Linked DNA regions of Nothobranchius furzeri. The protein of the gene in region 3 interacts with the protein of the main gene of each other region in a biochemical or structural test. Links are inferred from orthologs where the notes say so. Each region holds a gene or a part of one and is shown on either strand. Other genes may lie near its edges. The genes, in order: bmp2b, bmp4, bmpr2b and gdf5.

What was found.
Region 1: the proteins of bmpr2b (region 3) and bmp2b form a complex in vitro, tested with the Homo sapiens proteins (4 studies listed by BioGRID and IntAct, with this or other methods). The link is inferred for Nothobranchius furzeri from reciprocal best matches to the Homo sapiens genes BMPR2 and BMP2.
Region 2: the proteins of bmpr2b (region 3) and bmp4 form a complex in vitro, tested with the Homo sapiens proteins (2 studies listed by BioGRID). The link is inferred for Nothobranchius furzeri from reciprocal best matches to the Homo sapiens genes BMPR2 and BMP4.
Region 4: the proteins of bmpr2b (region 3) and gdf5 form a complex in vitro, tested with the Homo sapiens proteins (2 studies listed by BioGRID and IntAct, with this or other methods). The link is inferred for Nothobranchius furzeri from reciprocal best matches to the Homo sapiens genes BMPR2 and GDF5.

Annotation. Positions count from the first base shown.
Region 1 is NC_091742.1:22,690,765-22,699,064, forward strand, and holds the start of bmp2b (bone morphogenetic protein 2b), read right to left. Parts: upstream 5,157-8,300; 5' UTR 4,979-5,156; intron 4,202-4,978; 5' UTR 4,189-4,201; coding exon 3,834-4,188; intron 1,059-3,833; coding exon 157-1,058; 3' UTR 1-156. UniProt on the Homo sapiens protein: Growth factor of the TGF-beta superfamily that plays essential roles in many developmental processes, including cardiogenesis, neurogenesis, and osteogenesis. Induces cartilage and bone formation.
Region 2 is NC_091758.1:25,532,371-25,540,634, forward strand, and holds the start of bmp4 (bone morphogenetic protein 4), read right to left. Parts: upstream 4,624-8,264; 5' UTR 4,352-4,623; intron 1,301-4,351; exon of another isoform or gene 1,295-1,300; 5' UTR 1,178-1,294; intron 748-1,177; 5' UTR 741-747; coding exon 383-740; intron 1-382.
Region 3 is NC_091742.1:74,240,335-74,248,075, reverse strand, and holds part of bmpr2b (bone morphogenetic protein receptor type-2), read right to left. Parts: intron 4,175-7,741; coding exon 4,060-4,174; intron 1,256-4,059; coding exon 1,095-1,255; intron 985-1,094; coding exon 837-984; intron 725-836; coding exon 588-724; intron 353-587; coding exon 180-352; intron 108-179; coding exon 1-107. UniProt on the Homo sapiens protein: On ligand binding, forms a receptor complex consisting of two type II and two type I transmembrane serine/threonine kinases.
Region 4 is NC_091743.1:78,132,593-78,140,770, reverse strand, and holds the start of gdf5 (growth/differentiation factor 5), read left to right. Parts: upstream 1-3,168; 5' UTR 3,169-3,712; coding exon 3,713-4,340; intron 4,341-8,178. UniProt on the Homo sapiens protein: Growth factor involved in bone and cartilage formation. During cartilage development regulates differentiation of chondrogenic tissue through two pathways.

The DNA.
Region 1 (8,300 bases), about 52 Mb from region 3:
ATATTCATATATAGTTTTCCCCCACAATAGCTCTGTTTTGTGTTTTCATATAAATAAACATCTTCAATGGGATATTGGGTGTCCATAGCAACCTAAAATCACTTCCAGTCTTTGTGTTGTGTGTTCACCATTTTTGCATCCATACCCAAAAAGGTCTTACTGGCAGCCGCAGCCCTCCACCACCATGTCCTGGTAGTTTTTTAGAATGACTTTCTCATATTCGTCCAGGTAGAGCAACGAAATGGGGCTGAGTTCGGTGGGAACACAACAGGCTCTGGGGATGTTCGAGTTGACTGAATTGACAAGAGTCTGCACGATGGCGTGATTGGTTGCATTGAGGTGGTCTGCTAAGGGAAAGGGACATTCCCCTTGGCAGTAGAAGGCATGATAGCCAGGGGGAGCCACTATCCACTCGTTCCATCCCACATCACTGAAGTCTACATACAAGTCGTGCCTTTTGCAGCTTGCCTTATTGTGGTTCTTCCTGCGCTGTTTGCGGAGTGCTGCCTGCCTTTTTTCCCGCGTGTGGAGTACCGAGTCCCCACGGCCATCGTGGCCATACGTCACCAACAAGGGCCGAGCCTGAGGCCACGAGTCCTGGTCCTGATGCAGGGACCGGCTCACTCTAACATGCCTATTACGTCTCTGGGAATGCTCAGCGTCACTCTCACCTCCTTCCGGGTGAAACACCTCCACCATGAAGCCGTGATTGTGGCCATTCCCTGAGGTCCACTGAGAAACAGCAGGACTCACGTCAAAGCTCTCCCAGCGGCTTAAAGACTCCCGCACCAACCGGGTGTCCAGCAAACGTACTAGAGGTTCAGCGCCGTCAGCGGCGGGAGCTCTGAATATCTCGTAAATGTTGATACGATGGAAGCCACCGGAAGGAGCACCACCACTAGTGCTGCTGTTGTTGGGGGCTGCTGCTCCCATCACCTGATCCCTGTAAATGCGCAGCTCCGCAGAAGTGATGAGCTCCTCATCGGGCACAGACGTGAGGTTAAAGTAGAACTGCTGGGTTGTTTTGCCTTTCAGGCTGTTCAGGGCCTCCATGGACTCTAGAGAGAACAAAAGGCAGATCCAGCATGTCAGATGACGGTGTTCTCAAATGCATTCCAATGATGTGTCAAAGAATTCACGTACGACACAAGAATGACAACCGGCACACGCCTCGAGTAGCTGCTGGCGTAATAAACCGCGAATGAGCAGGAAAAGAATTTCCTTCTGCGCAGGCAGTGAAGCTGTCACGTGGTCACAGAGTCTTAGTCATTAGTTATATTTGCTTATCTCTTAATTAATTTTTTTTCTATCTTACCTTCTGCACCAAAATACCACAGCAAGTTCCTAATGTTGTGACTTGGCACACATATGGCAATAAAAACTTCTGATTCTGATTCAGAGAGTGGGTGTGGGCCATTGTCAAGCAGGTAAAACACATAGTATATCAAGCCTTTGCATGCATGACTCAGCGTAATAGCAGGCAAATGCTCATTATGACGCAATGCCGTCACCACTGTCGGGTTTTTTAAATCGCCTGGCTAAATGTCAAAGGATTAAAGCGATGCACTTCCATTTACTGATAAGATGAAGCAAAGCCATCACCCTGCTTCGACACGGCTCACTTAGGTCTCCTTCACTTCATTGATAATCTAAGACGAGTGCGGGACGCAGAGAAAGGGTGAAAACATAATCCTCAAATGTCACTCTAGCGTTTATGGAAATCTTAAGCCACCTGGAGAATGCTGCATTTAAAACACTCGGCTGCAAAAACAGAGAGAATCAATAAACAGATGTTTTAGACTCTTCTATCAGCCAGAAACGTGGAAGGGCCTTCTTTTCCATCTCCTGTGACTGTTAAGCGTATACTTAAGTCCGCTGGCATTCCCCTCTGTGGTGCAAATGGCAGAAGTGTTGGTAAAAGCTACAATTTGCTTTGAGGCGGCCCTGCTTTGAACTTTTACTTCATGCAGATCATAGACAAGCCATAGACATGCAGTTTAATCTGGTTTGTGCGGCAAAGTAGCGCAAACCTCAAACTCTTATCTGTTCAAAGGAGCCATTTAGGAAATTCCACGATCTGGTCCTAAACCCCCCTCCAGAGGCACAAAGACCTCAATTAGACCCATCACTACTCATTTGATGTGGGAAAGCCCCCTCTCTCATTCTCGCTCCTCTTCACCCAATCCTACTCTTCTTTTTTTGTTTTTTATCAGCACCCAAATCCCCCTCTTTCCCCTCCGTCCTTTTAGAGATCCTCTTCTCTTGTCTTCTCTGTCACCGTTTTCTCAGTTCCTTTCTGCAACTGTTCTCGATCTCGGTCTGGAACTGCTGTGTGAACAAGTTTATGCTTGTCAAAAGCACGCGAACCACAGATTTCCACAGCTTTATTTTTGTGCCACTCGCCAAAACAAAAGATAGATGCTAATATTGGATCGGCCATCTCTGGCAGCTGCGTCCTGTGCTACGGTGGAAAGGCTCTATTTGACTCGAGTTATTCCTGAAAACCAATTGTCCGAGCGAAAGGAGCATGGCGTGGCAGACGTGACGAAGGCTTGGAGCTGTTTGCTTTGATGTGCTGCATTAACATCTGTAGATCCGTGCTTATTACAGGGGGAACAATCCCTCGACGCGATACGGGAAGCCTAATAACCGCGCGGCTGTTAGCATAGGACGAAAAGAGCCAGGAGAAGACGTGTAAATGTCAACGTGTGTTGGCTGAGTGCAGAGGTTTCCAGCGGTGAGCTGGGAGCAGTCACTCAACCCTGCTGCTCAGGGTTGTTTGTAGTGTGTCAGTGTAGCCACTTGGTGTCATTGCACTAGGCCTTTGGAGAGCACCCAAGCAACCACTCAACCACCCCTCTGACTCACCCCTGATGGAAAGAAACTTCTCCACTCAAACACAGGACTCTGTATGAGGACTCTGCGCAGGGCCCCAATGGACCCAGCAACGTGGGTCACATTAAGATAAATAGATGTGCAAATCTACTATACCGGGAATAAGATGTTTATTATACAAAAACGTAAACATCGAGTGCTCCTGCTTTTAAAGCTGTTATAAACAAAGCATCATTTACTTTGTTAAAATACTGTTTAAATCCACATTTTAACAGCTGATCCAGAGTCTGCAAAACGTTTATTTTCATCCGAGAGGTGAATGAGTCATGTTTAAATATAGGTTTTTAAATTCAACTGAACTGAGACTTGTAGTTCAACTATCGCTGTCTTCTCCAAACTGGTTCACGCGTAATGATGCACAACTGGAAGCAACAGGAAGAAGGGAAGCCACGCCTCCTCTACGGCGTTACCAAGAGCTAATTTGAGTCTTGTTAAAGGTGACTCAGTCTGACACGGTGACTTCGTCATCGTGTGTGTTGCTCTGATGTCGGTTGTTTTTTGAAGTTGCAGGGTGACGTCTATCACCTGCGCACAGGCGCACCGCCCTTTATGCTGCTCCCGTGGTGCGTGTCTGGAAAAACAGTTTTCAGAATCCCACGCAAACACCATCAATTATTAAGAAACTAATGACCCCGGGGATACCGCCGCCCCTGATGTTTCTGAAGCCTGTGACAGCTGTGCTGGAGGGATGTTTGTCTAAATGTTGCACTGCTGCTTAGGTGAGAAAAGTCAACTTTGATGTGATTTTTGTGCATCAATCTTTAAGTTAAAGCATTTTTTAAGGTTGCAAATACCTTCGGAGCATGTCATCTGTAAATGACTAAACCTTCAGAAAACAGGGAAGACTCTGAAGTTCAGTGTTGACGATCTGAGTCATGTTTAAATATAGGTTTGCGCTGTCTGAGAGAGACATGTAAAGGTATGTCACTAATATATACCTTCATGGTGAAAGCTTCTAATCGTGTTGGCCTTGCTGGCGGCTCTCTCTGCGTGCTTCCCCATGCTCTTGGGCCGCTTAGTGCTGTGGTCTCCGTTCGCAGAGTGCATCCGGTAAAGGTCCACCATGTACTGGGGCACCACGGCTTGTTTGCTGGGGGTCGGCCTGCGTCTCAGCCCGAACATGTTGAGAAGCCGCAGCTCGAACTCGTTGAGGAAGCTCTCCGACTGCTCAGGGGTCTGTTTCCCGGATTCGCTGTACTTCCTCCGGCCTACCTCGGGGATGAGTCCCGCAGCACCTTCCAGCAGCACCTGAGCGAGCATCAGTACCATGAGAGAGCGGACCACGGCGACCATGATCAGTCAGTCCCTGTGGAGAAAGTTGGTTTCTGTCAATACACTGGCAGGCAATGTGGTATTGACGTGAGGTGGTCCCAGCTAGGCTCTCGCGGCAGCAGTTCCCAAATCCCCCCTCAGAGCGTAAAACTGAAGGGGAGCAGGTTAAAAAGGGGGAGACACCTCTTCACTTTGAAGTGCAGAAGAAAAAGAAAGAAAGAAAGAAAGAAAGAAAGAAAGAAAGAAAGAAAGAAAGAAAGAAAGAAAAACCCAGAGGCTAAACTGCTCCTCTAGTTTGGGTTGAACATGAACCCTAACATGAAATATCAAGGTGAAAAACTAATGACAGAGGTGGATTAAACAGACAAATCAAAGGATTTGAAGGGAAACGCTGCAGACAAAAGGTCTCCAGCGAGAAGAGATAAGAGATCTTGTTGCAGATATGAAAGTCCATGCAGAGAGAAGGATCAAAGGAAGAACACGCATCAGTTCCAGTCCCACTGCGCGCTGTTTGCATGTAATCATAAAGGATAGTTACTTCAAGAGGCTTGCAGGTGTTAGATCTGACGTGTGCCCCACAGCCAGGCATCAGAAACACAGACGGAGTCAAACAACTTCCACACAGACAACTTTTACCTCTATTTTCATTTTCTGTTTCTCCGTGGCTCAACAGGCGGAGGCTTTACGCACGAATTTATTATTAGAAACAAATGAGCTGTCACTTGTGAAGTGACCTTTCTGTGTTCAGTCCAAGTGCGGATTCAGGTTAAAACCTCCACATCGATGGTTATTCTTTATTCTAGCGATTTACCTGACGAGAACGCGCGGTGTCCGGTCGTCGTTCCACCTTTAAGCTCCGATAAATTCCACATTAATTCGTGTTTAATCCACGCTGCTTCTGCTTGGGGGACCGAAAACAGCCCGCGCCCTCCGCCGATCGCTTCTCGCACATATTCTCACCAGCTGCGCGTCGGGTTCGGGTCTTGCTCAGTCCGGAGAGGAAAGAAAAAAAGTAGAAAAATTAAGTCTACGAGGAAGCGGCTGCGCGCAGGCATAGCCGAACTAAGTGCGAGGAAGCTTGTCTGGACATTTTTAAAATTAGAAAAAAGAAAAGCTGAAAGTGGAGAAACGTGGAGCGTCGCGCGATGTTCGTGGAGAGATGAGCGCAGTGAAGTTGGTGCTCGGAGAGGGAGAGCTCTCCGGAGCGGGTCTATTGATTGGTGCCTTCTCTTTCCCCTGCGACGCTTTTTGTCCTACAGTGATGTCACTGGGCTGTCAGTCATCTGTCCAAACCGCACCACTTCCTGTGCGTAACTCCCGCAGGAGAAAAATCCCTCATTTCTAACTTCACAATGGAAAACTGTTTAAACTTTATTCCTCTCCCCTTCAGCAAACATCTACAAATGTGATTTGGATTAAAATCTGTAACAGGACCACCAAGAACAGGTGGAAGAGCTGGCAGGAGTTTATGAGCTGAGTTTATTACTACAATTTTTAACCAAGTATTTCCCCTCAGAATGTGTACTCAGCATATTTGAAGAAAAAAAAGTACTTTTTGTTTGCTTCTTTTGACAAACAAGTACTTTTGTTTGTTTGTTTTGCCAAAATAGATTCAGTGCATTTGAGATTCAAAAGGTTGCCAATGATCAAAATGCAAAATGTAGTGAGAAAAATGAACTATGTGGGACATTTGCAGTTATTAACAGTTTTTTCCTTTTAGCAAACACAACACGTTATTAAGGAATTACTTAAATCAACCAAATAGAAAGAATAAACAGGCTTCATCATATAATTTTACATTAACCCTTTGATGCATAATGGTCACTATACAGTGGACAGGTATTCAAAATTGTTATTTGTTTATTTTACAGCTGTTGAAGACTTTATTGCAATTGAGCTCCTTCATTTGGACTTCAGTAAGTCAAGCCAACATATTTCGTGTTCAGAATGCACGCTGTCCCCTGAGATGGACATGTAATAAATTATTTGTAAATTAACAAAATACTACAAATAATATTTGCTGAAATTTGTTTCATTCACACCTACAGATGAATGAAAAAAAAGTTTAAAAAATCATGGTTGAAGATTTCATAATTCATGCATCAAAGGGTTAATTTGTAATAAATATGACGAAACCAATTCCTTTCAACCTCTTAATTTCCTGTTATATGAACAAAATATCATTTTTTATCACTTTTAAAGGACAGTTGTGTTAATTAACTATCAAGTTTCTAAATGATCAAACTTGAGGTTTGTTGCCACGGATAAGAAAAAAAATCAATTCATTTGAAAAATGTAAACCCTAAACTGCTTTTAACCTGTTAAACCTGCAGCTCTTCCCAGCTGACGTCATCCGTCCAATATGGCGCACCTGTTGACATTTCTTTGCCATTACCTGAAACCCCTTCAACGGAAGGTCTAAATATGTATGCCTTTGCTTCACGAGTGAAACCATTTTGTATTTTAAGAATTATTATGAATCAGTGGAATAAGATAAAGACTGAACGTTTTGTGGCAATGTCGTAACTGACCATTATTTTGAACTCTCGTTGGTTTTTGTAAAGATAAATACATAAAACAAAGAAAGAAATAACTACAAATGTCTTATTTTTATATTTACAGTAATAGTCTGTAGACTGTTCTTTGAACAGCCTTAGTTTGGTGAAACAGAGATTAGTTTGGACCGGCCTACTAAACATAAATACAAATTGATTTCTGTGATTTTAAAATAAATTGGATGGTTTTCAACACAATTTTGAACCTTGATGGTTCTGTCAGCTTCTTAATTATTAACTCATTCACTGCCAGCCGTTTCCTGGTCAGAGAAGCCCTTCACTGCCAGCATTTTTTAGAGTTTTCAAAGTTTTTTGGAAGAGTCACAGAACAGTGCGCTCCACGATGATGCCAACGCCAAAACAACCAAAACAACCAAAACAAAATGGAGACTCATCTCTTACATCAGGAAGAATCCGCACATTTTGAACGTTATCCGTTCTTTCATAATCCGTTGTCGAATTGTGATCGTCAGAAGTTTTTCCGGTTTGCGTCTCGCTTTTTTATTACAGCAGCCCAAAACGATCTCCTAACACATGAATTTTCTGCTTCCAGGTCAAGTGACGTGTGACGTATGCGGATGAAGATCGGCTTTAGAGCTGGGATGTTTGTTCTCCTGGTGCGGGGGCTCGTTCCAACGCCCACTCAGTAAAAACATGCAAATGACGACTTTAGTTGTCAAAGGCAGAGAATGAGTTAGAGCAGAAGCATTTAGTTCTGACAGAAAATGTTGCAGACGTTTAAACACACTTTTACTTAATATAACTAGATTCAGGTGAACTTTAGTAATCCCGGTAGAAGGTTTCTTTGTGACAGAAAGGGGAAAAATGGTTTCAACAAGAAAAAATACAAAAAATAAGAACTAAAGTAACCACAAACAACCAATATCAACCATAAAAGAGAAAAATATGAAAAAAATAAACTAGATAAATAACTTGGAATAACTTGAAATGTTCTTTAGAGAGTCACACACACAAAACAATTAAGAGAAATAACATTGTTATTTCGACCTTTTCCAAATTTGAACTTCAGGTAATTAATAAACTCTCACCCCCTGAGAATAAAAACTGTTTTAATGTCTTCATACATTTGTCCAGAAATAATTTTAATGCTTCTCTGTCATTTCCAAACTAAAAGAAAACGTCAGAATAAACTAGAACAATAGCAGAAATTGTATTTCCACTTTCACCTGTTAAAAGGTAAAGGAAACGATGCCATTTGGTCCTTTTGGGGCAGCGGTAGCTCAGGTGGTAGAGCGGGTTGCCTCATGATCGGAGGGTCATGGGTTCGATTCCAGCTCCCGCCAGGGGTATCCTGCTGTTGTGTCCTTGGGCAAGACACTTCACCCAACTTGCCTGTGTTAGTGGTGGTCAGAGGGGCCGGCGGCACCAAATGGCAGCCTCGCCTCTGTCAGACCTCCCCAGGGCGGCTGTGGCTACAAGTAGCTTACCATCACTGGCACTGTGTGAATGTGAGAGTGTGTGAAAGCGTGTTTGGGTGTCTAGAAAAGCGCTATATAAGTTCAATGCATTATTATTATTATTATTATAAATAGTAACCTGTATGTTTTAGACAGGTGC
Region 2 (8,264 bases), on a different chromosome or scaffold from region 3:
GCGCACAGGACGGTTCCAAGCCAAGAACAGGCTTTTTAAAACCATGTTCTGCTGGGTGGAGTGAGAAGAGTAATATGAAGGTATGCTTTTCCTTCAGTTACTAACCAAACATACAGAGCTTTGTCAAATTGGACTCCAGAGAGCTTGTCTAGCAGAATTTTATGGCCCTCTGTAGACGTTGTTTGGTGACCACATCCTTGGATTCTTTGGTTATGGTGAGGTGGGTGGAGATCTCCAGCTTTTTAACCCTGAGAACTCCACTTTCTTCAACTGCAATCAAAACTAATTGAACATCTGCCTTGAGAAACCCCCCAAAATGATTTGTTTCTGTATATTTTTAAATCGCTTCTAGTCTTTTCAGTGCTTTTCCAAAATATCTTACCTTCATGGTGGAAGGCCCTCACCGTGTTGGCCCGGCTCGCCGACCTCTCCGGGTACTCAAAAGCGATGCCATGCGCTCCAAGCTCCTCGGCCTCCCCGGATTGTAGCCGATAGAGGTCCAGAAGATATTGAGGCACGGTGGCGGAGCGGCTTGGACGTGGACGTCTTTTGAGGCCGAACATGTGCAGCAGCGTGGCCTCAAAGTCCCGCAACAGTTCATGGCTCTGAGTGGCCGAGCGACCCTGCAGGCCAGGTACTTTCTTTTTCCCTTCTTCAGGTATCAGACTAGCATGGCTGCTCTCTCCCAGCAGGACTTGGCATATTAAAATGACCATCAGCATTCGATTACCAGGAATCATGATGTCTCTGGGAGGATAAACAAGATATGGAACGTTACAAATTTAAACTAATTATCTTCACTTTTCTACGTTAAATATTAGAGTACTATGGCTCCAACATTTTTTCACAAAACTTTCTTTTTGTATTCCCACTCGAGGCTAAATAATTACCCTCAATATTCCCGTCTGTCTCGTTTACAGTCCAGGACCACTTGCTGTTTATCTTTGGCGACATCCTCCAAAGGTAAACAGCCGGTTCCCAACTTTTTAAATGCAATTTAAGGGCCATTCCTCCTCCCTCCACCCCTTTCCACTCGTCTCCTACGATCAGACAAATAAAAGAGGCGGCCTTGGGGGTAGAAACAAATTCTTAACTCAACGAGGAGCCGGCGTCCCTCAAAGTCTGCCCCAACAAGCCAAACCCAAGACCTCTTCGGACTTGGAGTTAGCGTACTCACCGACAGAAAATAAAGCATGGGGAAACAGTCCATGTTTGTTGGGAGCAGGAGGTGGACACGTTCTTCCAGGAAATGTTAGGTGGTGTTGGGAGGCTGCAGGAGAGCGTTGGAGTGACCCTGTTCCTGAAAGATAGTCCAAAACACGGAGGAAACCTTAATCTGAGTGCGTCTGCAAACACTTGAGAGGATGTTACTTTGTATTTACGTGAAGACAAGCAGAGTGTGTGTGTGTGTGTGCATGCGTGCGTGCGTGTGTGTGTGAGAAAGAGAGAGAGAAAGACCCTGTGTCTCTTTAAGGCTTATCATTTTGGCTTGTGGGGAAGCTGCTATTTGCTGTAACTGGAATGTAAGGAGGTATGTGCCACAAGACTTCTCCTATCTCAAGAGAAAGATCAACATTTACTCAATCATCCGAGAGATATTAGAAATTTAACACCTTGTTAGATTTAGTTACATTTTTAGGATTTTTTTCGTTGAATTCAAAAGCTGAATTGGACTAAAAAGGTGACAGATGATGTTCTAATAGCTCCGAATCTACAATGACTCAACCATTTGCAGCATAAGCTTTCAGTTTGGCACCTACTCGCTTTTTGTTATGAATTTTTTTTTAAAGTAAAGAAAAAAAAGAGCTTCCTCAACTTGAAAATGTCAAACATGGCTGTCAAAAACTAGAGCAATTGTTTGTTTTGGCGTTTCGACGACTAGAACATTCAGCTTTTAGGTTTTATTTAAAGAGTTAAATGGTTCAAATGGTTCCGAGTGACCACAACAACAGCACCCCAGATTAAATTCCAGAGTAACATATGTCTTTGATCTTCATTTGGGGCTTGTTCACTCAAGCATGAGAGAGAGAGAGAGAGAGAGAGAGAGAGAGAGAGAGAGAGAGAGAGAGAGAGAGAGAGAGAGAGAGAGAGAGAGAGAGAGAGAGAGAGAGAGAGAGAGGGAGAGAGAGAGAGAGAGAGAGAGAGAGAGAAAGAGAGAGAGGAGAGAAGAGAGAGAGAGAGAGAGAGAGAGAGAGAGAGAGAGAGAGAGAGAGAGAGAGAGAGAAGGTTTAGCATCCACAGTCTGTATGTTTTACAGTACGCCGGCTGGTTGGGTATCGGTGTGAATATCTCAGGCTCTCGACGGCTCACTGTGCATGCAATCAAAGATCTCTTTCTCTTATAACAGCATTAGAGTGACCTCGGCTTGACCCCCCCGCCCTTTCTCGTTCATGTCATCGGATCCAGTGTGTGTGAGGCAAGGACCAGGTGCACGAGCCCAGCTCGCCTGCGCGCGAATGTGTACCACCGCTCGCATGTTCGTGAGAACTGTGGCACAGAGAGAGAGAGAGGAGGGCTCAGAACATGATCAGCTCTATTACCCATGGGGTGCAGGGATGAACTCCGTGTGTGTGTGTGCGTGCGTGCGTGCGTGCGTGTGTGTGTGTGTGTGTGTGTGTGTGTGTGTGTGTGCGTGCATCCTTGACAACAAACGTTCATTGTACAGAGAGGGCCTCTTTCATGATTGCAGGGATTCATAGTACTCAAAAACACTGACCATACAGCTCATCTTGTAACTGTAACCAGCAAAAGTGCAGGCCAGAGCAGACAGACACTCAGTGTGGTGTGATGATGATGAAAGAAGAGGAAAAAGTGATAGGAGGGTAACTTTCTTCAGTGGAAAACCTGCGTATGTGAGCGTGCACACTTTCCAGATTCACATTTCTTCTCTGAATTAAACAATAAAAAGCAAAGTGGAGCTAAGGCAAGCAGATTTTCAGATTCGGGGTGCAGTTAGGCCGCAGCGGTCAGCTTAGCCGCTCCCTCCCTTCCTCTGTCTCTTTCTGACCACAGATAGTGGTCAGGCTCTGCACATGGCTCTTCAGATGTGTTTCTTGAGAAATTTGACAGAGATGGTGGGAGGGAAGATGGGCACTAAGGGCGGGAGAGAGGAGTGCAGCAGGTTACCACAAGAACAGATCGAAGTCTGATTTTTTGTTTAAAAGTCTGCAACAACACATCTGCAACCCCGGAGCTGCATCACGTGTAAACTCTAATGTGAGTTAACATCCGGCACTGTGCATCATTAGTTTATATTCCAGCCTCAAGTTGGAATAAGTTGGTTGGAAGCTGCATTTTCTTTTTATTTATTTATTTATTTATGCAGAAATGAAGCAAATCTCTGAAAGAAAAACTTCATAAATTCCTGGTTTATAATGAACAAAAGTTGTGGATTTTATAAGATTCACAGTCGGTGAAGTCACTCCAAGAATTCAGATGTGACACATTTGGCCTTTTTTGACTAATTTAATTTGTTTTCTCCTTTTTTGTTAATCTAAACACAAGTAATAAAAATTTCCCCAGATGTTGCAAGACCTGCAGTTCTGGTTCAGACTGAGAGCCACATGTCCAGAGGCCAAGCTTTTCTGTCTTTTACTGGGTTTAATGGTACATTTTCATTTCCACACCTGCAATATAGAACAGTTATGCTAGCATTTATTTATATAAACCTATGTTTATACCCGTTTTAATTTTTTTACAAGTTGGCAGTTTAGACAAAAAAAGAAAAACAGTTGATTATTAAAACAAATAAAAATACACTTTTGATAGCAGACTATACTGAAAATACACATACCATTTAAATTATTTTACAAATAAAAGGAGTGACAAATGATTATTTTCTTTATTTTAATTAATGCGATCCCTCAGAGCGCAATCCTGTGATTTTATTCCATATTTCTGCGTGTCCAGATTGGTTTACGAGCTAAGATTCGCGCTGGAAAACAGAAAGAGTTTGAAAACAAATGTTTAAGTTGTCACGGAGAAAGAGAACCACACGGAAATCTGACGCGTTGTTTGGAAATGACCTCACTCACTTGTCTTTACGCAAAGTTTTGGCACACACAAAAAAACGCAGAAAGAAATCAGTGACAAGCTGACTATCGCTGTGGTTTAGTTTTATTTTATGTCTAAATGACTAATAAAAGTAAAGTTAACGATTTTTAAATCACCTTAACACGTTTTATTTCTTTCTGGGATTTAAAAAAAAATCTTCCACGCGCGCAGAAATACCACAATCAACATAATAGAACCCATTAAATCCTCCATAGAGTTCGTTCTTTATTATTTTTCTGGTCCTGTTTCTAAATTCTCCTTTACTGATGTGTAGTTGTCAGCTGAGAGGAGCTCTTACCATCAGTGGAGGTCCAGGTTTCCTCTCGTGAATCTGGAAACGACGGATAAAACACTCCAGCCGTCACGCTGCAAAACACCAAAATGCGCCTTCAAGCAGAAGTCTGGTGCCTTTGTGGCTCATTAATCCTCTAGTGGCGCCCCGACGCGGACATGTGAGCTGTAAAGGCCGGTTATCTGGCTCTTTCGTCCGTCTCCACGACAGTCGGTGAGGGAGGGCGATGCGCAGAACGGGAAGGCTCTCCAAATGATCCAGCATCTCTGATCCCTACAGTTTTTATGTGTACGCCCAATTCACCCTCCCCCCCTCCTTCTCCACCTCCTCCTCGACCCAGTCTCCCAACACCTCGGACATCCCCCCCCCCCCCCCCCACACACACACACACACCCATCTCTCCTAGGCTGCGCGCATTTTATTTTATTTAGAAAAAATTGACGTGAGGCAGCTTTATTTGTAGCACATTTCGTACACAAAGGTAATATATATATATATATATATATATATATATATATATATATATATATATATATATACACATACATATATATGTATTTATATACACACAAATACATATATATGTATATATACATATACATATATATAGATACATATACAAATATATATATTACATGAGGCAGCTTTATTTGTAACACATTTCGTAAACAGAGTCTATATATATATATATATACATATATATATATATATATATATATATATATATATATATATATATATATATATATATATATATATATATATATATTAAATGTTCTGGAGAGAGGCAACTGGTTTGGAGAGATCCGGGGGAAAAAACTGGGAAGAACACATCTTAACAGGTGAATACAAAACGGTTAAAAGCGTAAGAACAAAACCCTAAAAATTTTCATTTTAAACTATCACGGCATGCTCAAGTGCTTACTATTAAGTGTTATTTCAATGGTTTTATGTTTAATTGTCCTATGAATAATAATAAATAAATAAAATAAATAAATAAGTTGCCTAAGTAAAGAAAGAAAGAAAGAAAGAAAGAAAGAAAGAAAGAAAGAAAGAAAGAAAGAAAGAAAGAAAGAAAGAAAGAAAGAAAGAAAGAAAGAAAGAAAAACAAATGATCCAGCATCTCTGATCCCTACAGTTTTTATACTTATATATTTTTTTACTTCTACAAAACCTTAAAACTTTCTGTTACTCTTTAAAGCCATTTGCAGTGTTTTACTTAATTAAAAATAATTAAATGCACTTGTGTACATTTATTTACTTATTTAAAAATGTCAAGATTATTCGTTGATTCCGACAAACATACTATAAAGTGAATTTTAATCAGGAAAAACGAGGATTTAAAACGACTCTTTGTTAAAAAGTTTCTTCAGTGTTAGGATTAGGGTTTTACATTGGGCCTGAATAGACAATACACACAATTACAACAATAACTTAGCAAGGTCTAAAGCAGGGGTGTCAAATATGCGGCCCGCGGGCCGGATCCGGCCTGCAAACAGGTTAAATCCGGCCCGCGAGATGGTTGTGTAAACTTTATTTTCATACTTTACAATATAGTGAAAATAAACTTATCTTTGTGAGCAAGTTTTCTCTGTAATGAGTATAAATAAAACAAAGCTGTGCTCAAGACTCACACAAGAACTTGGATCACATCCTGAAGTTGGCTGCCACTCAGGATGTGACTTCTGATATTGATGTGCTGGTGAAAGCTAAAAGATGTAAAGTAAAATGAGTCAAATATACTTTAAGTCAGGGGTGTCCAATCCCGGTCCTAGAGGGCCGGTAACCAGCAGGTTTTGTGGTTTTTCTGCTTCAACACGCTTGATTAGCTGGTTGAATCACCTGTGCAGCAGCTCATCAGGCTCTGCAGAAGCCGGTTAATCACCTGCTGATTGAAATCAGGTGTGTTGAAACAGTTTAAAACGAAAACGTGCTGGATACCGGCCCTCGAGGACCAGGATTGGACACCCCTGCTTTAAGTGCTGCATGAAACTGATCTAGCCATGTGATCTGTAAGCACTTTGAATCACTAAGGAATGTTTTATTTATTTATTGATTTTTTTTTTTTTCAAATTTTCAAGTACACTTCAGGTGTTGTACTTGTCCTATTTTGGATACACTGTCCTCAGGCTCCAGCCTTGTTTTATATTGATTGTATTAAAACAAAGAAAACAATCTGAAGTTTTTTTTTTTATTTACCCGTCTGGCCCACTTGGGACTAGATTTCCCTCAATGTGGCCCCTGAGCTAAAATGAGTTTGACACCCCTGGTCTAAACCTTCCGGGCACGTCCAACCGGGAGGAGACCTAAAGGTAGACCCAGGACACGGTGGAGGAACTATGTCTCTCACCTGGCCAGGGAACGCCTTGGGATTCCCCCGGAGGAGATGGCCCAAGTGGCTGGGGAGAGGGAATTGGGCCTCTCGACCTAGGCTACTGCCCCTGTGACCCGACTCCGGATAAGCAGATGAAAATGGATGGATGGTCCAAACCTTGGTTGTTTTTTCATTTGTCCCAAATGTGTATTTTACACCAACAGCAGAAATCATTGATTTTTTTTCTTGCTCCTGACTCTCAGGATGTCATTCATTATAAAAAATGTAATGGAACACTTCGAAAATACATCAGATTTCACTTGGGGGGGGGGGGGGGGGGAATCAAGCTACACATTATTTGATCAAAACAAAAATGATCTACACTACCTCTCTCTTCATTCAGAGTCCCCTCATCACTGACCTGGTGGTGTCTGATGGACATGAACATGATGTCCCACTAGATTTAGATCAGGTGTGTAAGTCAATGGTATCAAGTCCTTCATCCTCTAGAAAGTGCCTGCATGTTCTTACCAGATGAGACCAGATATTACCATCCAGGAAGAACTCATGATCCACTGCAACAGCAAAAGGTTCAGGGTGCTGTCGCTCATCATCTACAGACATATGTTTATGGATGTTCTCCCCAGACTAATGCTGAGTCACCATCATGCTGAACAATGTTGTAGAAAGTACAACATTCACCGTGGCTTCTTCAGACCCTTTCAGGTCTGTCACATGAGCTCAGAGTGAACCTGCAAATACCAGTGGAGCTCCACGGTGCCAGGCAGTGAGCACAGGGCCCACTAGAGGACCTCCGGCCCTTGGGTCACAGTCATGCAGTCTGTTTCTAATGGTTTGGTCGGAGACATTTACACCAGAGGCCCCCTTGATGTCACTTTAGGGTTCTAGAAGGACTCGTCCACCTTGCACAAATGAGCACACAGCGGCCCTGCTGACTGTGTTAGGAGACACATTAAATCTTCTGGCAATAGTTACATATTGTTGTGCCATCCTGGTGGTTTAAGCCTGTTTGTGCAACCTCTGTGGGGTCTAGGTTTCTCATGATTCCAGTCAAAGATAAAATGACCAAAAACTAAATAAAAAACATCCAAAAAAGATGAAGAGAGAACAATGTCCCTGTCCTCTACCTGCAAAACCATTCCCGTTGTTTGTGTTTCCCATGTGTTGCTCCTTTGGTGCACATGTTGCAAATTTCATGAATTTGCAAAATTTGCTTTATTTTTAATGAAACTGACCTTTGATTTAATTGTAACTTTATAGCTTCAAAATACTTTTTTAAATTCAGTGTTCTGTTTGTAGTGTTGTGATTTAATACAATATCCAATGCACCCAAGGTACAGGTTTCACAGTAATTAAAAGACAACCAGAAAGTGTGTTTTGCCATTACAAATATCTCTGGATCATCCCCATTTGGGTTAGGGTTAGGGTTGAGTTGAGATCTGTAAATCTGCAAAGGTAATTAAATGTATTCCCTGAGGCTATTTTAGTATTTCTATTATTGCGTCTTCTAACTCATCTGCTGCATATCTTCACCAAGTGATGGGTGCATTTCAACACCATCAAATTAGGGATGTTTGTCAAGCA
Region 3 (7,741 bases):
CAGCGCTGCTGCTGTCCACCTGCATATTCTTAGCTACCCCCTCCTGCTCTTCAATGTAGGAGGAAGGATGATCAGTGTAGGGGCCCGACTTTGGAGTCATGCGGTTTCTGTTCAACGACAGGAAGAAATGAGATGTGAAACAGTTTCGTGTTGGCGTGTGTGATTCTGAGTCTAGCTACCTCTCGTTGTGCAGAGTGGTGGACATGGGGTTGAGGGTTGGACTGACGGACTTGGACCGGTCCCATATGAGGAACAGCTCTGTCAGGCGCTCCTCGGCACACTGAGCTGTGAGGCGAGCCTCTGCATCCTGATCCCAGCAGTCCTCCATGGTCTCCTTCAGGGAGCGAACCGCCTGGGGGTGGGAGTAGTTAAATCACACAGATTCCAAACCAAAGGCTCTGGATATGATTATATCAAACAGAAGCAACCTCCACCCAGAAGCTAACACAAAACAAAAGCTAATTCAAAAAATCCTCTAATTAGTTTAAAAGCAAACAGGAAAGATCTATTCCTCCTATTGTGAGTCGGACGCTTTGATTAAATCCCAGATTCATGCGACTGTGGCTCTGTTCCTATCAAACACGTACCAGGCTGTTCTCCTTCCAGGCTTCAGGGAATTTGGGCCGCTGCTTCTCCCGGGACACCAGGACCTGCATGTCCTCAAACGTCGGGTGGTTTCCTGCCTCGACCTGAAAGGCCATCTGGTAATCTGGCACCGACTCTCCTACAGACCAATGGAGACAGGGCGGATCAGATTTTAGACACAGATCACACATATGAGGCTTGTTCTGAATGGAACACCCTTAAAGACGTAGCCCATAGGGCACTCTCCTCACCAGGGAACAGATCGGTACATCTCATGAAGATTTCCCAGTAGACCAGGCCCAGAGCGTACATGTCCACCTGCTTAAGTGCTGCCTCACAGTCCCTCAGGTTCACCGCACCTTCCAGAACCTCCGGAGCCATGTAGCGGACCGTCCCCGCCTGCAGAGGAGAGAAGAAAAGATGAAACAAAGGTAAATGACTGAACGTTCGGGGCTACAAGTGATGAGAGATCCTAAAATCCCTGATGCGGTGCAGTCCTTTCTCCTCACCTCGCTAATAGCAGCGTTGTCCTCCTCCCCGTGACGCGTGGGACGATTCCCTGTCAGTTTCATGGACAGGCCAAAGTCGATGATGGCAGAGGTGCCATCGGCCTTGACCAGAATGTTCCTGCTGTTCAGGTCTCTGTGGGACACGGCAGGCTTGTACAAGTCTAAAAAAACAAAGAGGAGATGATTGTGTAGGTGTGTGACCAGCAGGGGGCGCAGCGAGGCAGCAGGAGGTTGACACAGTCACCAGGGAGATGTGATGTGCAGGAGTGGGGGAGAAGACTACCATACCAAAGCCCCAGAGATCCTGCAGATTTCTTTAAGACAGTCCTTCCTCTTATCTACTCATCACTTCACCTCCCAGAGTCACTTTTTAGCTACACATGGCACTGATTTGAGCTCTCTCTCCTCTCTTTTCACTGCATAGTCTGCCTGACGACTATCTGTGCTAATGAGGAGAGAGAACAGGAACATCTGACGACCATTTGTTGACAGATGACGGAAACAGCAGAGTCCTGACCTCTCAGAGTGAAGTTACCTTTTATTTACCTCTGTAGCATGTTCCTTTCTCTGCTTCCTCTCTGTGGCTCGCTCGAGGGAAGGCTAAAAATACCCTCGGCTGGGCGTGCACTGACTGTTTGTCAAAACACAAACTCTACAAGACAAACAGACCCGAGTGGCGCTGCATGTACAGCTCACGTGGAGGCTCGCTCTGGACTCTACTGTTTAAATGTTTCCGGACACAAAAACTTAGTTTTCAGGTGTCGAGTGTTAAAATGAAGAACATTAACACATCAGGTCAACTGTACACCAAACCTCAAACCAACGCAAGTCAAGAGAACAGATCTCAACCACATATATGACTGACAAAGTCACAAAGACGAAGAGTTGCTGAATCATCACGGACTCACAGTTTCTCTGCTTTTGTTAAACAATAATAAACTTCATCTATAGTCTTTTACTGCCGGAGACACTAAATCAGGAGGAAAACAAGTAGAAACAACTGCAATATCTTTGTGAGCAAGAGGAAGACGGGTGGATCAAATCACTCTTGCTGACATCTTATTTTGACCATTTGCTCTCTGCAAATAAACAACCTAAAGACAATATTTTCATTTCAAATGTAAACAAAAATGTTCAATTCACCCCAACAGACAGAACAGTTCATTTTGCAAAAAAGAGCATTGAGAATCATTAATAACAGTAACTATAGAGATCACACTAATAAATTATTCATTAGATACAAAATACTGAAATTTCCTGACTTGGTAGAGTGGAAAATATCGCAAATAATGTACAGAGCGAATACGAGTAATCTACCAACTAATATTCAGAAAATGTTTCATAAGAGAGTAAGTGGGTACATGTTAAAAGGAACTGATGTCTTTAAGAAACCTAGATTCAGAACCAAAGTGAGGGAATGTAACATTTCTGTAAATGGTGTAAGGTTGTGGAATACCATTAACAAGGAATTTAAAGAATCAACTACACTTGCTACATTTAAAAAATGTATAAAATCTAATGTATTTAGTAATTATGAAAAGGTGAATTATAATGTCAAAGATTAGACGTGAAAATATTAGAAAGTGACTGAGGTTATACTGTGTTTGTTTGGCGGATAATTTTATTTTGTAAAAAGGGGCAGAAATCATAAGATTTTTTTCTTCTATCTGCTCCTTTTCATTCAAATGTTTTTTTTTCAATATGTTAATGTATGTTGTATTTGTTTGTGTTTATTTTATACATTGTGAATGAAATAAAAGATTTAAAAAAAGATGCTGTAAAATCATAACCATTGAAAATGTAAGTCTGTATGTGTGCATGTATGTGTTTGGGTCATGAGACCAATTTCAAACAGTGTGATATTTGTGTAAAATTTCTTGTTTAAATTTAATCAGAAAGTGTCTTAATTATGTACACAAAGTGATCAACAATCTTAGCTGAAGTAGTTTTCTCATCTTTGACTCACAAAAACTAAACTGAGAAGTGTCTGACAGGTTTGAGACAGATTTCAGACGAGACAAAAAGATTTGGGACGGGGTTGAGACAAATCAAAGAAAGTTGAAGAGAAGTTCGAGATGGGTTTAGGTGACAGGTTTAGGTGTTTTGAGACAGGTTTGAGACAGATTTGTGGAATTCAAGATGGGTTTCAGACAGGTTTAAGGTGTTTAGGACAGGGCTGAGGTTTGAGATGGATATGAGGCATTTCAAACAGGTTTGAGACAATTTCCAGAAAACTCGCTAATTGTTTTGGAACTTGTTCAAAATTGCAGTGACAAGAGTGAGATTCTCTGATCGACAAGGAAACTGAGACATCTCCAAAGTTTTGATGTATTCTGGAAACTTCCCCATGAATATGGTTCACAATTCATCACTAAAAGTCTAAGCTCAGGGAGGTATTGGACTCAGGTCCAAAGATTTGTTTTACATGTTGAAAACCCGAGATATCTCCATGTGGATGACTCTGGTTTTATGTTTCCGTATTTGGCAAACACTTTTATCCAAAACCTATAATTGAGGACATAACAATGCAGTCAATATGTTATTACAAGATACAAGTATATTTGATAAGATGAATTTTATAGATTTTATTTTGTTAGATTTTATTTGAACTATACGCTTTTCACATCTCATGGTTTGAGGTGGCAGCCATGTGGTAGTAAAACCAATAAAAACCCCGGTACTATTCAGTGTTCTTGGTTGTATTATTATATTTTTGTATTGACCATAAATTTGTTAATATTATCCTACTTCCTGTTAGGTTGATTGAGGTCAACCAGCTGAATCAGAGCCTACCTGGATGTCACTCCTTCCTTAATCTAAACCCTTTGTAAACGATTAGGTCTACTGGGGCCAAACACACTAAAAGCTTTGCCACCACAACTCTTTTTTTCAGTTTATGTTCCGGTAGCAGCCCTAGAATATGATCCCAGTAAGGTTTGAGTGGTTTGTGTGTCCACCAGCTTACCTCCTTTACAGAGCTCCGTGTGCAGGTACGCCAGGCCCCGGGTGACAGAGTGGGCCAGCCGGCAGCTGCTGACCCAGTCGTTGGTCTGGATGCTCAGGTAGCGACTTACAGAACCCTGAGGACCATGAAGAGGGATGACATGAAACAATACTGTCCTACTGTGATTATAAATCACCACTTTAATAAAGCATTATCCCAGAAATGTTTAATTTCCTTCTTGATTGCCCTCCTGGTAACCTTGATCATTTATTATTAGTTGGTTCATGGATCACAAAGAGAAAAGTTCATCACTCTGAAAGAATACTACTTTAGATCTGGTAGTTGTGGATAAATCACATTAATAATTTACTTGAACACATTATGTGTTCCGACTCCTGTCCTGGCTTGTGCTGCGTTTCCATGACGATGTGTATTAAACTAATGAGAGCGAAGCATAACAGGCTCCTTTTATGCCTGGTATACAGTGGGGCAAAAAAGTATTTAGTCAGCCACCGATTGTGCAAGTTCTCCCACTTAAAATGATGACAGAGGTCAGTAATTTACATCATAGGTACACTTCAACTGTGAGAGACAGAATGTGAAAAAAATCCATGAATTCACATGGCAGGATTTTTAAAGAATTTATTTGTAAATCAGGGTGGAAAATAAGTATTTGGTCACTTCAAACAAGGAAAATCTCTGGCTCTCACAGACCTGCAACGTCTTCTTTAAGAAACGTTTCTGTCCTCCACTCGTTACCTGTATTAATGGCACCTGTTTGAACTTATTATCTGTATAAAAGACACCTGTCCACAGCCTCAAACAGTCAGACTCCAAACTCCACTATGGCCAAGACCAAAGAGCTTTCGAAGGACACCAGGACAAGAATTGTAGACCTGCACCAGACTGGGAAGAGTGAATCTACAATAGGCAAGCAGCTTGGTGTGAAAAAATCAACTGTGGGAGCAATTATCAGAAAATGGAAGACCTACAAGACCACTGATAATCTCCCTCAATCTGGGGCTCCACCCAAGATCTCATCCCGTGGGGTCAAAATGATCATGAGAACGGTGAGCAAGAATCCCAGAACCACACGGGGGGACCTGGTGAATGACCTGCAGAGAGCTGGGACCACAGTAACAAAGGTCACCATCAGTAACACACTACAACGGCAGGGAATCAAATCCTGCAGTGCCAGACGTGTTCCGCTGCTGAAGCCAGTGCATGTCCAGGCCCGTCTGAAGTTTGCCAGAGAGCACATGGATGATACAGCAGAGGATTGGGAGAATGTCGTGTGGTCAGATGAAACCAAAGTAGAACATTTTGGTATAAACTCAACTCGTCGTGTTTGGAGGAAAAAGAATACGGAGTTGCATCCCAAGAACACCATACCTACTGTGAAGCACGGGGGTGGGAACATCATGCTTTGGGGCTGTTTTTCTGCTAAGGGGACAGGACGACTGATCCGTGTTAAGGACAGAATGAATGGGGCCATGTATTGTGAGATTCTGAGCCAAAAACTCCTTCCATCACTGAAAGCTTTGAAGATGAAACGTGTCTGGGTCTTCCAACACGACAATGATCCCACACACACCGCCCGGGCAACAAAGGAGTGGCTCCGTAAGAAGCATTTGAAAGTCCTGGAGTGGCCTAGCCAGTCTCCAGACTTCAACCCCATAGAAAATCTGTGGAGGGAGTTGAAAGTCCGTGTTGCTCGGCGACAGCCCCAAAACATCACTGCTCTCGAGAAGATCTGCATGGAGGAATGGGCCAAAATACCAGCTACTGTGTGTGCAAACCTGGTAAAGACCTATAGTAATCGTTTGACCTCTGTTATTGCCAACAGAAGTTATGTTACAAAGTATTGAGTTGAATTTTTGTTATTGACCAAATACTTATTTTCCACCCTGATTTACAAATAAATTCTTTAAAAATCCTGCCATGTGAATTCATGGATTTTTTTTCACATTCTGTCTCTCACAGTTGAAGTGTACCTATGATGAAAATGACTGACCTCTGTCATCATTTTAAGTGGGAGAACTTGCACAATCGGTGGCTGACTAAATACTTTTTTGCCCCACTGTAATTAGCTGGAGGTTTGGATGGGAAGCAGCTTGGAGGTGCATCCTCATTAACATTCATGAGCACCTGAGGGCATTTGTAGGAGTTTTACCAGTAAACAATAAGAAAAACATTTTAAAAAGTTTGAGACAAACGGCTGCATGCTGATAATATATAAAAGCCTTTAGCAACTTTTTGTTTAAATGGATCAATGCTATGCATCTAGAGGTCAGGAGACAACCTTATCTGAATCTGTTACTCTATTATTTCTATTAAATAATTTCTTCTCAGTGCTGATTGGAATTAACTCAGTGATTCACAGAAAATCAAACAGCATCCAGAGCTCTGAGATAGTATGAGGATTGCCGTAACGACACTGACACTAGTCAGTGACTCGATGCAATCTGCTGGATCCCTTATAAAGGAAACTTTTAACTGATTGGCTTAATGACCTGAACTGTATTGGAATGTTTACTGTGTGAAGTGCCTCGAGACGACTCGTCGTTATTTGGAGCTATATAAATAAACAGAATTGAATTGAGAAGCCCGGCGTTTTCCTCGTGGATCACAGCTCTGTGGTTTGGATTGTTCTTTTGTCTAGAGTCTCGCCGTCTCCACCACAACCGTAACAAACTACTTAATGTTAACTTTATTTGGGTTGGAGCCACTTCCTTCCTTTCATCAGCCTCTGACAGCTGCAGCCCCACCAGCTGATGGTTGATTAAATTAGTGAAATGTTTTGATTAATTTGGCTAATATAACAAGGAGTCCGTTGCTAAAATCAGTACTTTAAGCAATTTCACTGTTAGGAAGAGCCTGTACATTATGGGAATGAGAAAGCCAAGCAGTTAACATGGTGGAGATTGTTTTATATAACCAGACCCAGGTATTGGTGGATCTTTTGGTTTTCACCACCTCAAGGTGATGATATCAGAGCACCACGTCTGGATTTAAACTGGATTAACCAAGACAAATGCTGTGACGTGTAGGTAAGGGTTGTCTCTGAGCCCACTCAACCTACGAAGGAAACTCATTTTGGTCGCTTGTATTCACGATCTTGTTCTTTTGGTTGTTATCCAAACTCCTGACCATAAGCAGTGTTGGGTAATAACGTGTTGCAGTAACGGTGCTACGTTTACCAGTAACTGTTAATATAATTAGTTACTTTTTAAATAAAGCAACTTTACTGGTCTGACTTAAATTGTGTCGAAAAATAAATTAGTATTTGTGTTTATACAACAATCAAATGTGGTTATAAGGACATTAATAATGATAATGATAAATGATCTGCATTTGTATAGCGCCTCTCAGAGTAAGGACTCCAAAGGGCTTTGTACTACAGTGTATCATTCATCCATTCACACACTGGTGGGGATGAGCTACGATGTAGCCACAGCTGCCCTGGGACGCACTGACAGAGGCACATTGGGCATAATGGGACATAATGGGCACATTTTTAAAAATACTCTATTAAAAAGTACCTAAATAGTCACTTTTCAGAGTAATGCGTAACTTTTGGGAGTAAGTAATCAGAGTAACTGATCACTTTTCAATAAGACAAATAGTAAATGTAACTAGCTACTTTTTTCATTAACTAGCACAACACCAACTACTATTGGGGGTAGGGATAAAGGTGACCAGT
Region 4 (8,178 bases), on a different chromosome or scaffold from region 3:
TACCCGTTTAATTATACAAGATTCATTAGAATAAATACAATAAAGTTTATCTCTCACCAAATAGAATATTTACTAAGAAATCACAATGTAACCATAGAAACACTCCTTGGTGTGTGTGTTGTATGTGTGTGAGTGTGTGTGTGTGTGTGTGTGTGTGTTAGGGGCTGCATGACTTCATTTTTTTTAAAGTCGACCGTCAAGTAATGAAAATCGAGTCAACTTCGACTAGTCGTTGATGACGTCATACACCTGAAGCGGCTAAAACCGATGATGGGTGACCAAGTGCTGGAGTTTTTGACAATTAAAATTGCGCCCACATTTTCAAAGTTAAACACATCTCTTTTAACAATGGTAGTTTCTGCATCTTGCTTCAGCCCTCTCCCCCCACCCCCTGTGCAGTGGCCGCAAACTCACTGATGCGCCAGCAGCCTCCCAGAGTTTCTGCTGCTCTAAACATTAAAATAATTATTTCATTTTCTGTTCCTCACTTCTGATTAACCTTCAGTGGTGTTTGTTTGTTGCAACCACCAGGTATAAAAATGAACTTGTTTTTATTTGACTATTTTTCTGTCCTGTCTCTGTTTATTATCTTCCTGCGTCTCCTCTCAGTCCTAAAGAAAAACTGCCACCTGGGTTCGTATATATTCACCTCATGAGTTACCTTTGAACGGCAGTTAAAAAAGATCTACCGACCGCAAAAATAGCGGAGTGCGCACCTGCCGCACCGGTGAGGGGCATCACAGGAGGACAAAACAGGTGATGCGCTCCGCTCCACGGCAGCAAAACGCATCAGGCTCAAATAAAAGACAGAAAACATGTAAGGAAATGAGCCGACACGAACGATCGCGTGTTAAATTTGTTTTTCAGGTGGCAACACCTAATTTGAAAATGTTACTGTAGCCGTGTTCAGGACGCAGATGTCTGGAGCGCGTCAACGATTAGAGCTTTGCATGCGCAAGCTGGTTAAGATTAGGATGGGGGTGAGGGGAAACACAGCGCGTCGGCTCCCAACGCGCAGGAGCTCGTCACCTGCTGTCTTGTCCGAGGACTGCATCTTGTCGGTCATAATCATGTGACAGCGACTAGTCGATGACAGGCATAAAAAGTCACTGCAGAGCAGTGAAGTGGACTAATCGACTAGTTGATACAACCCCTAGTGTGTGTTTCTACTCTGTCTTCTCCATCCCCAGTGAGTCGTGGCGGATGGCTGCTTATACTGAGTCGGGAACCTCTGGAGGTTTCTTCCTAATAAAAGGGAGTTTTCCTCTCCACTGTCGCTGCATGCTTGCTTAGTATGAGGATTGCTGTAAACAATTTGCTGGGTTCCTTATATAGGAAACTTTTTTCTGATTGGCTTAACGAATTTACCTGAATTGGAATGTTTATTATGTAAAGTGCCTAGATACGATGCTTGTCGTGATTTGGCGCTACATAAATAAACTTGAATTGAATTGAAATTGAAAAGTTAAATAAGAAGATGATTATGAATCAAACCCCCCCACCCCCATCCCCCCTTCCTCGAGCAGCTGCTGACGAGCCAGAAGGTCCAGCTCCTTGTTGGTGTTGGAAACACAAACACACACAAGACTGGTGAGCTCACTCGTGTAAAGTTTGTGAACATATAATCACCCAATGAACAGCATCAGAATGTTTTATAGACTCCCACAGCTCTCTCTCTCTCTCTCACTCTCACTCACACACACACACACACACACACACACACACACACACACACACACACACACACACACATCCAGGTCTCTGCATGCGTCCCGGGGTCTCCAGGCATAGCCGATACTCAAGAGCCAGTAAGAGTATACTACATGGTCATTATTCATTCCTCATCTGTGTGTGTGTGTGTGTGTGTGTGTGTGCACGTGCGTGTCTGTGTGTGTGTGTGTGTGTGTGTGTGTGTGTGTGTGTGTGTGTGTGTGTGTGTGTGTGTGTGTGACGACCAAATAGGTCACCTGACTTTCATGGTTCTGATTACTGTTTAAGGTTCTTGGATGAGGTTTAAGTCCTGAACTCCTGACCCAGGATCAGAGCTGAAGAACATCTTAAAGGAACAGGAGAAGAAGTCCTGTTTTGTTTCTTCATCCTACCTCATCAGAGTTTTATTTCCGCTCTGAACTCCATGCAGATGAAAACATTTCTGAGTCAAAGTCATGGTTTGTTTCATCAACCTGCCACTTTACCTTCCTGTGATGTGACTTAGTGAGGGTTTGGCACCAACAGCAACTTGAAACAGGAAAGAGTCTTTTGGCTCTTTGGTGCAAAACCTGCAGCAAAAGTTAAGCATGACTAATGGTGAATGAATGGAGCCCATTTGGTCAGCCATGACATGTTAAAATATTTAAAAAACAAGAATCTAAACTTCTCTCTAATCTGTAGACTCATGACTTTATGAAAGGTTTAATGCATCTTTTTCCATATAATCATCTGAGGAAGGAGGTCAGATGTGAGGGTTGCTTTTCTCTACTGAATTATCAGAGGCTTCACTCAAGCTAATGATTAGTCCTAATTTTAATCTGAGTTTTGGGGTCTTCAGATCAAACCTCAACAGATGTCTACGTGTTCTCCAGCTTGGGACTCACCTTCAGGGCTTCATCTCATTGTGTTTTATAAAGTAACTGGAGCCTCAGTCTCCTTCATCTGGCCTTAGAATAGGAAACATCCAGCTGCTGCAGCTCTTCAGAGCCACACAGATGTGTGTGTGTGTGTGTGTGTGTGTGTGTGTGTGTGTGTGTGGGGCAGCAGTAGCTCAACAGGTTGAGCGGGTTTTCCAGTAGTCGGAAGGTTGCAGGTTCGATCCCGGCTCCGGACAGAGAATTCTGCTGTTGTGTCCTTGGGCAAGACACTTAACCCAGCTTGCCTGCTGGCGGTGGTCGGAGGGACCAGTGCTCGGCAGCCTCAACTCTGTCAGTGTGCCCCAGAGCAGCTGTGGCTACATCGTAGCTCATCACCATCAGTGTGTGAATGGAAGAATGATACACTGTAAAGCGCTTTGGAGTCCTTACTCTGGCGGGCGCTATACAAAAGTGGGTCATTTATCATTTATCATAATTTGTGTGTGTGTGTGTGTGTGTGTGTGTGTGTGTGTGTGTGTGTGTGTGTGTGTGTGTGTGTGTGTGTGTGTGTGTGTGTAAAAGAGGGAGGAAGATGTGGGCTGAATTATCACTGTTAAATGAGTTGGGACAGAATGACATCACGGCGTAATTAAAGCCGCTCTCTGGAATTCCTGCTCAGGTCTGCTGCAGGATTCTGGAGCACCTGCGGGTTGTTGTGTGTGAGTGAAATATTTTCACTGGACAGAGTTCAAGCTTTGGAGGGAAAGAGAAAAAACGGAGGCAACCGCATTACGCCATACTCTCCTCACATGGAAAAAAGAAGTGGGATTTAAAGAAGTTGTTACATGGTACCAAGCAGAACAGTTCGCTGGAGAGCAGAAGACGGGTCCAGGTCTCAGAGTCTCACCTGTCCACCATCAGCAGTATGGTTCTGACACCTGACCCTGACCAAATGACTCTTTTAACCCTGTGAGAGTCAGACCCCGTTTCTCTAGCGTTTGGGAGCGAGACGCGCATTTTGGACCTCACGGGTCTGAGGATGAGAAAGGTCACTGAACTTCCCGCGCTCCTGGTGTCGGCTCAGCGGGTCAGATCGTTCTGAAGAGATTTATAGACGATGTGCCAAAAGGCTGCAGAGATTTAGGATGAGAGTGAAGAATCTTCCCCTTCTGCTCAGCTGGACGATAGTCTTCCTGCATCCCGTCCGCGGTTCGCTCAGCAGAACCAGAACCACCTTGGAGCGAACGGGAGGAACCGCTGGCTCTTGGAAACCAGCTCCTCGTGTGCGCGTGAGTGCGCTGCCGACCACAGGTGAGACGAATTTTGCCAGTCAGAAACCAGCGGGGATCTCCGCTGCACCGGGGAGGCTGGACCAGCCGCAGCAGGACGGAGCGCAAAGATCCGCGTGCAGAGAGGCTGTGTGCTCCTGGCGTCCCGCCGCTAAGGCACGTGTTGAAGCGCACGCGCCCGCAGCTGTTAACGCAAATGCTGCCAGGAAAGGAACTGAGACGTTTGGAGGAGGTGGCTCACCGGGGAAAGCCGCTTCCAGGGCGGGCGCAGCAGCCGCCGCTGCGCGCAGCGGGTATGAGCAAAAACAGAGCGCGGCTGTGGAGCGGGGCGTCAGCATCAAGTCACCGAAACCAGGCGCCAGGCAGCCGGTGGTGACCCCTCACGACTACATGCTGTCTCTGTACTGGTCACTGAGCAGCGGAGACGTGAACAGCAGCGCGGCTCTGGCCAACACCATCACCAGCTTTGTGGACAAGGGACAAGGTAACTGTCTCTGTCCTCTATAACGAAGACTATAGGCTTTCAAAGGAACAGAAAGAAAGAAAGAAAGAAAGAAAGAAAGAAAGAAAGAAAGAAAGAAAGAAATGAAAAACTGAATAACTTTCCTAGGATTTGGATCCAGTTCTGGGATCAGATGGTTTGGAAGCAGCAGAATGTTCTGTCGGTCATGTTTCAGTTGTAGGGAAACATCACTGCTGCTGCTCACACACAAACCTTACTTAAAACCAACCATTTAGTTCTGAGTGAAGATTTGGTGAAGGAGGGCTCTGTAGACCTCCACAGATCTAGGATCAGTAGGAGAAAGAACAGGATCTGAAGGGAAGGCCTGTGATTGGTTTAGCTCATACTGGAATAAAAGATATTTTAGTGTTTGCATTGAAAACTGTTCTTCTCGACCTCTAGGGTCCCCCAGGGTTCAGTTTTGGGTCCTTAGCTTTTCTCGATCTACATACTTCCTCCAGGCATCATTCTAAAAAAACTTAGTAAACTATCACATTTAATGCCTGGCAAGCCCGACTAAATAATATATTATTAAGTCCGGCAACACTCCATCGATGGCTCTCGGGCTCTACAGTTGCCTTTCAAACGATCTCCCGCACGCTACTGGACAATGAACAACGTGGCATACTCACCACAACGGATGTCGATAAACGAGGTTGTAGAAGGTAAAAATACATCCTTTTTCTAAATAAACAACTTAAAAACGTGTATCTGCTCCTGGTTCAATAAAGCCCAAGTCCCAATAGTCCAGAATTAATGTAAAACCCATTTAAAATGAGCGGTCGCCATTTTTTTCCACTCTTGCATCATCCCGCCCACCAGACAAACAGAGGTCCGTGATTGGTCCACAAAGCAGATAGGTCACTGTGACCGGCCCACCATTGTGGACCAATCACAGCGCTCTATCAGTTTGAAACCCCTCTAGAGAGCTGTGATTGGCCAGCCAGAATGCTGCTAGGGGCTGCAGAGGTTCTAGTGGAGCGTTCCTAGACCAAAGTTTGGTCTAGTTCACTAGACTAGTTCTGGGCTAGTTCACTAGGCTACACATGTATGCAGATGACTGACTACTACTATGTCAGCCCAAGCTCTCCTGCAGTCTGTGTTCAGGATCGTTCCTCTGTAATTAAAACCTGTTTTTCCTCTAATTACCTTCATCTAAATGAGGACAAAACCAATGCTATTGTAATAAAAGTAGCCGTGGGCAGCACGGGCAGAATATCTTGCCCTCCGGTCAGAACCTGAACACACCACCAGTAGGCAACGACTTATAAAAGACACACTTTATTGCACAACCAATAATAAAACACAACGATAAAACACCATGGCCCAAGCCCTCTCTTGTAAAACCAACTGTCCAGCATGAGTCACGTAAGCAGCGGTACTTAGCTGTCACGGATGGTGTGACCCCCGTCCCCGGGGTCTGAGCTTCCAACGCCGTCCAACGCCCCGGGGTGTAGCTTGCGAGGACGGCGGGTAAATCCACAACATAAGTCCACTGCCAGAGTCCGTAGCGGCAGATGTCGGCGCGGCCTTGGCATCACCTATGCCCAGCCCTAACTGTCTAAAGAAGGCGACCAGCCTTCCCTCCTGGCGCTGGAACACTAAACACCTGTTCAGCTATCTTCGTCGCCGGCAGCCCTACCCGGCTGCGAACGACCCCTCCCCCCAAAGTCCGATGCCACAATGACAGGTCGACCACGCACCCCTCTCAGCAGACCTGTCACCTTTTTATCCTCCCTGGCCTCGTTATCCATAACGAGGACCAGCTGGTGTCCAATCACCACACCCTCAGAGCCCGGCAGCTTCCGTCTTCTGCCCATCACACTCTCCCCTTCTTTGTCCTGAAGGACTCGCCCTCGAGTCCTAGATCTCCACATGATAATCCTTATGCCAAACAGGGGGTCTCCTCTGACGAACCACGCGTTGCTCCACAGCTCCAGGTCCCTCGACCTTCTCAGGGATACGTCCTCCCGATCCTCTTCCAACCGCACCCCCTCGAGCAGCCTCTCCATGCAATGGGGCAGGGTTGCTTGAATCACCGGAGCCCTTCGTCTCCGAAAACCGTTGAGCACTCCTGCTGATGTCCTCCCAGGTGGCATCCGGCTGATGAACCACCCGCTGTTCCGCACGTCTGTCGATCTCCCCAGGGAGACGTCCTTCCGGTCCTCCTGCAGCAGCACCTCCTCGAGCAGCCTCTCCACGTGATGGGGCCGGGTCACTTGCGCCGCCAGACCTGCTTGTCTCTGCAGACCGTCGATGAACCCTGCTGGTGTCCTCCCAGGTGGCATCCTGCTGACGCAGACTCTGCCGCGCTCTCTCTCGGGACCCCACAGCCATCGGTGCTGCAACTAGTGGAAGAGAAGTGCACGGCTTAAGTCGGTTGAAATGAATCACACTCTCAGGACCCCCCTCAACGGGTACTAGCCTGTATAACACGTCTGTCACCTGCTCGAGGACCCTAAACGGTCCCCTATCTCGCCTCTGAAGCCTGGGACACACCCCTCGTCTCCTCAGCTTATTTCTGACCCACACTAAGTCACCTGCCGCGTAGAACCGGCGGGAGGCCCTAAAATCATGTGCCCTCCTTTGTTGCACCGATGCTCTGCCCTGATGGCACTTCACCGCATCCACCATCGTAGTGAATGTTTCCTTCAGCCTCGTCACATACTTGTCTACTGAGGCAAAGGCTTCACCTATCCTGGCCTTCAAGTACCCAGCATTGCCTCTTCCTACAGGGGTCTCAACAACAGAGAAGGGGGCGGGCATTTGACCCACGATACACGCCCCCTCTAGTTTCCCTGCACGTAAGGGCAGTCCCGACGTAAATGCCGGTTACAGCCACACTCCCAGCAGCCTCCAAACCTCTCATTTCCTTCCCTCCGGGAATATTCTTGCCTAGGCTGCAAGTTTGTGTTCTGAGCGTCACGACGGTGGGGACTAGATGCAGCAGGTACTGACAGTGTGTGCACCACTTCCTGGAGGGATTTCACCTCCTGTCTCAAGCTCTCAACCACCCCCATTAGTGAAGCAATGCTTTTATCATCAGCATCTTTCACAGTTATCCCCCTCACTCTTGCGTCCGATACTGAGCTGGTCTCCAAGCTCCTAATGAGCTCAAGCTCCGCCGCCAGGTCGATGGCTGCTTCAAGCGACGCGGGCTTGGCGCTCCGTAAACACACTCTCATGTCTCCATTCCCCACATGAGCTATAAACTGATCTTTAGCCAACATGTCTCGTATATTGGGATCCACTGTCGGATAAGCTTTAACGACAGCCCGTCGTAATGCCATCCCAAATTCTCGGACACTTTCATTATGCCACCTGCGTCGAGCGGAGAAAACAGCCCTATTCCAATCAGCGCTGTCACACGGATCCAAACACTTCCCCATTTGCTCTTTTAACACGGCATAATTAGCTTTAACGCTCCCCGACAAGCCATTGTAAACCTCTCGAGCCTTGTCAGACAACAGAAGACACAGAAACTTCAGCTTAAGGGGCTCATCCCAGTTATTTACATCGGCTGCCATTTCAAATTGTCCAACCCAGTCTGCCCATTCGCGGCCAACACCGGAAAAGCTCTCCGGCATAAAAATCGTCCGAGCTGCTGTGCTCACGGGCTGATTTTCAGCTGGTCTCAACGGAGGAGGTGTGTTATTTTCAGGTTCTGACATTTTGGATTGCTAGATCCCACTTCTGACACCAGTGTAATAAAAGTAGCCGTGGGCAGCACGGGCAGAATATCTTGCCCTCCGGTCAGAACCTGAACACACCACCAGTAGGCAACGACTTATAAAAGACACACTTTATTGCACAACCAATA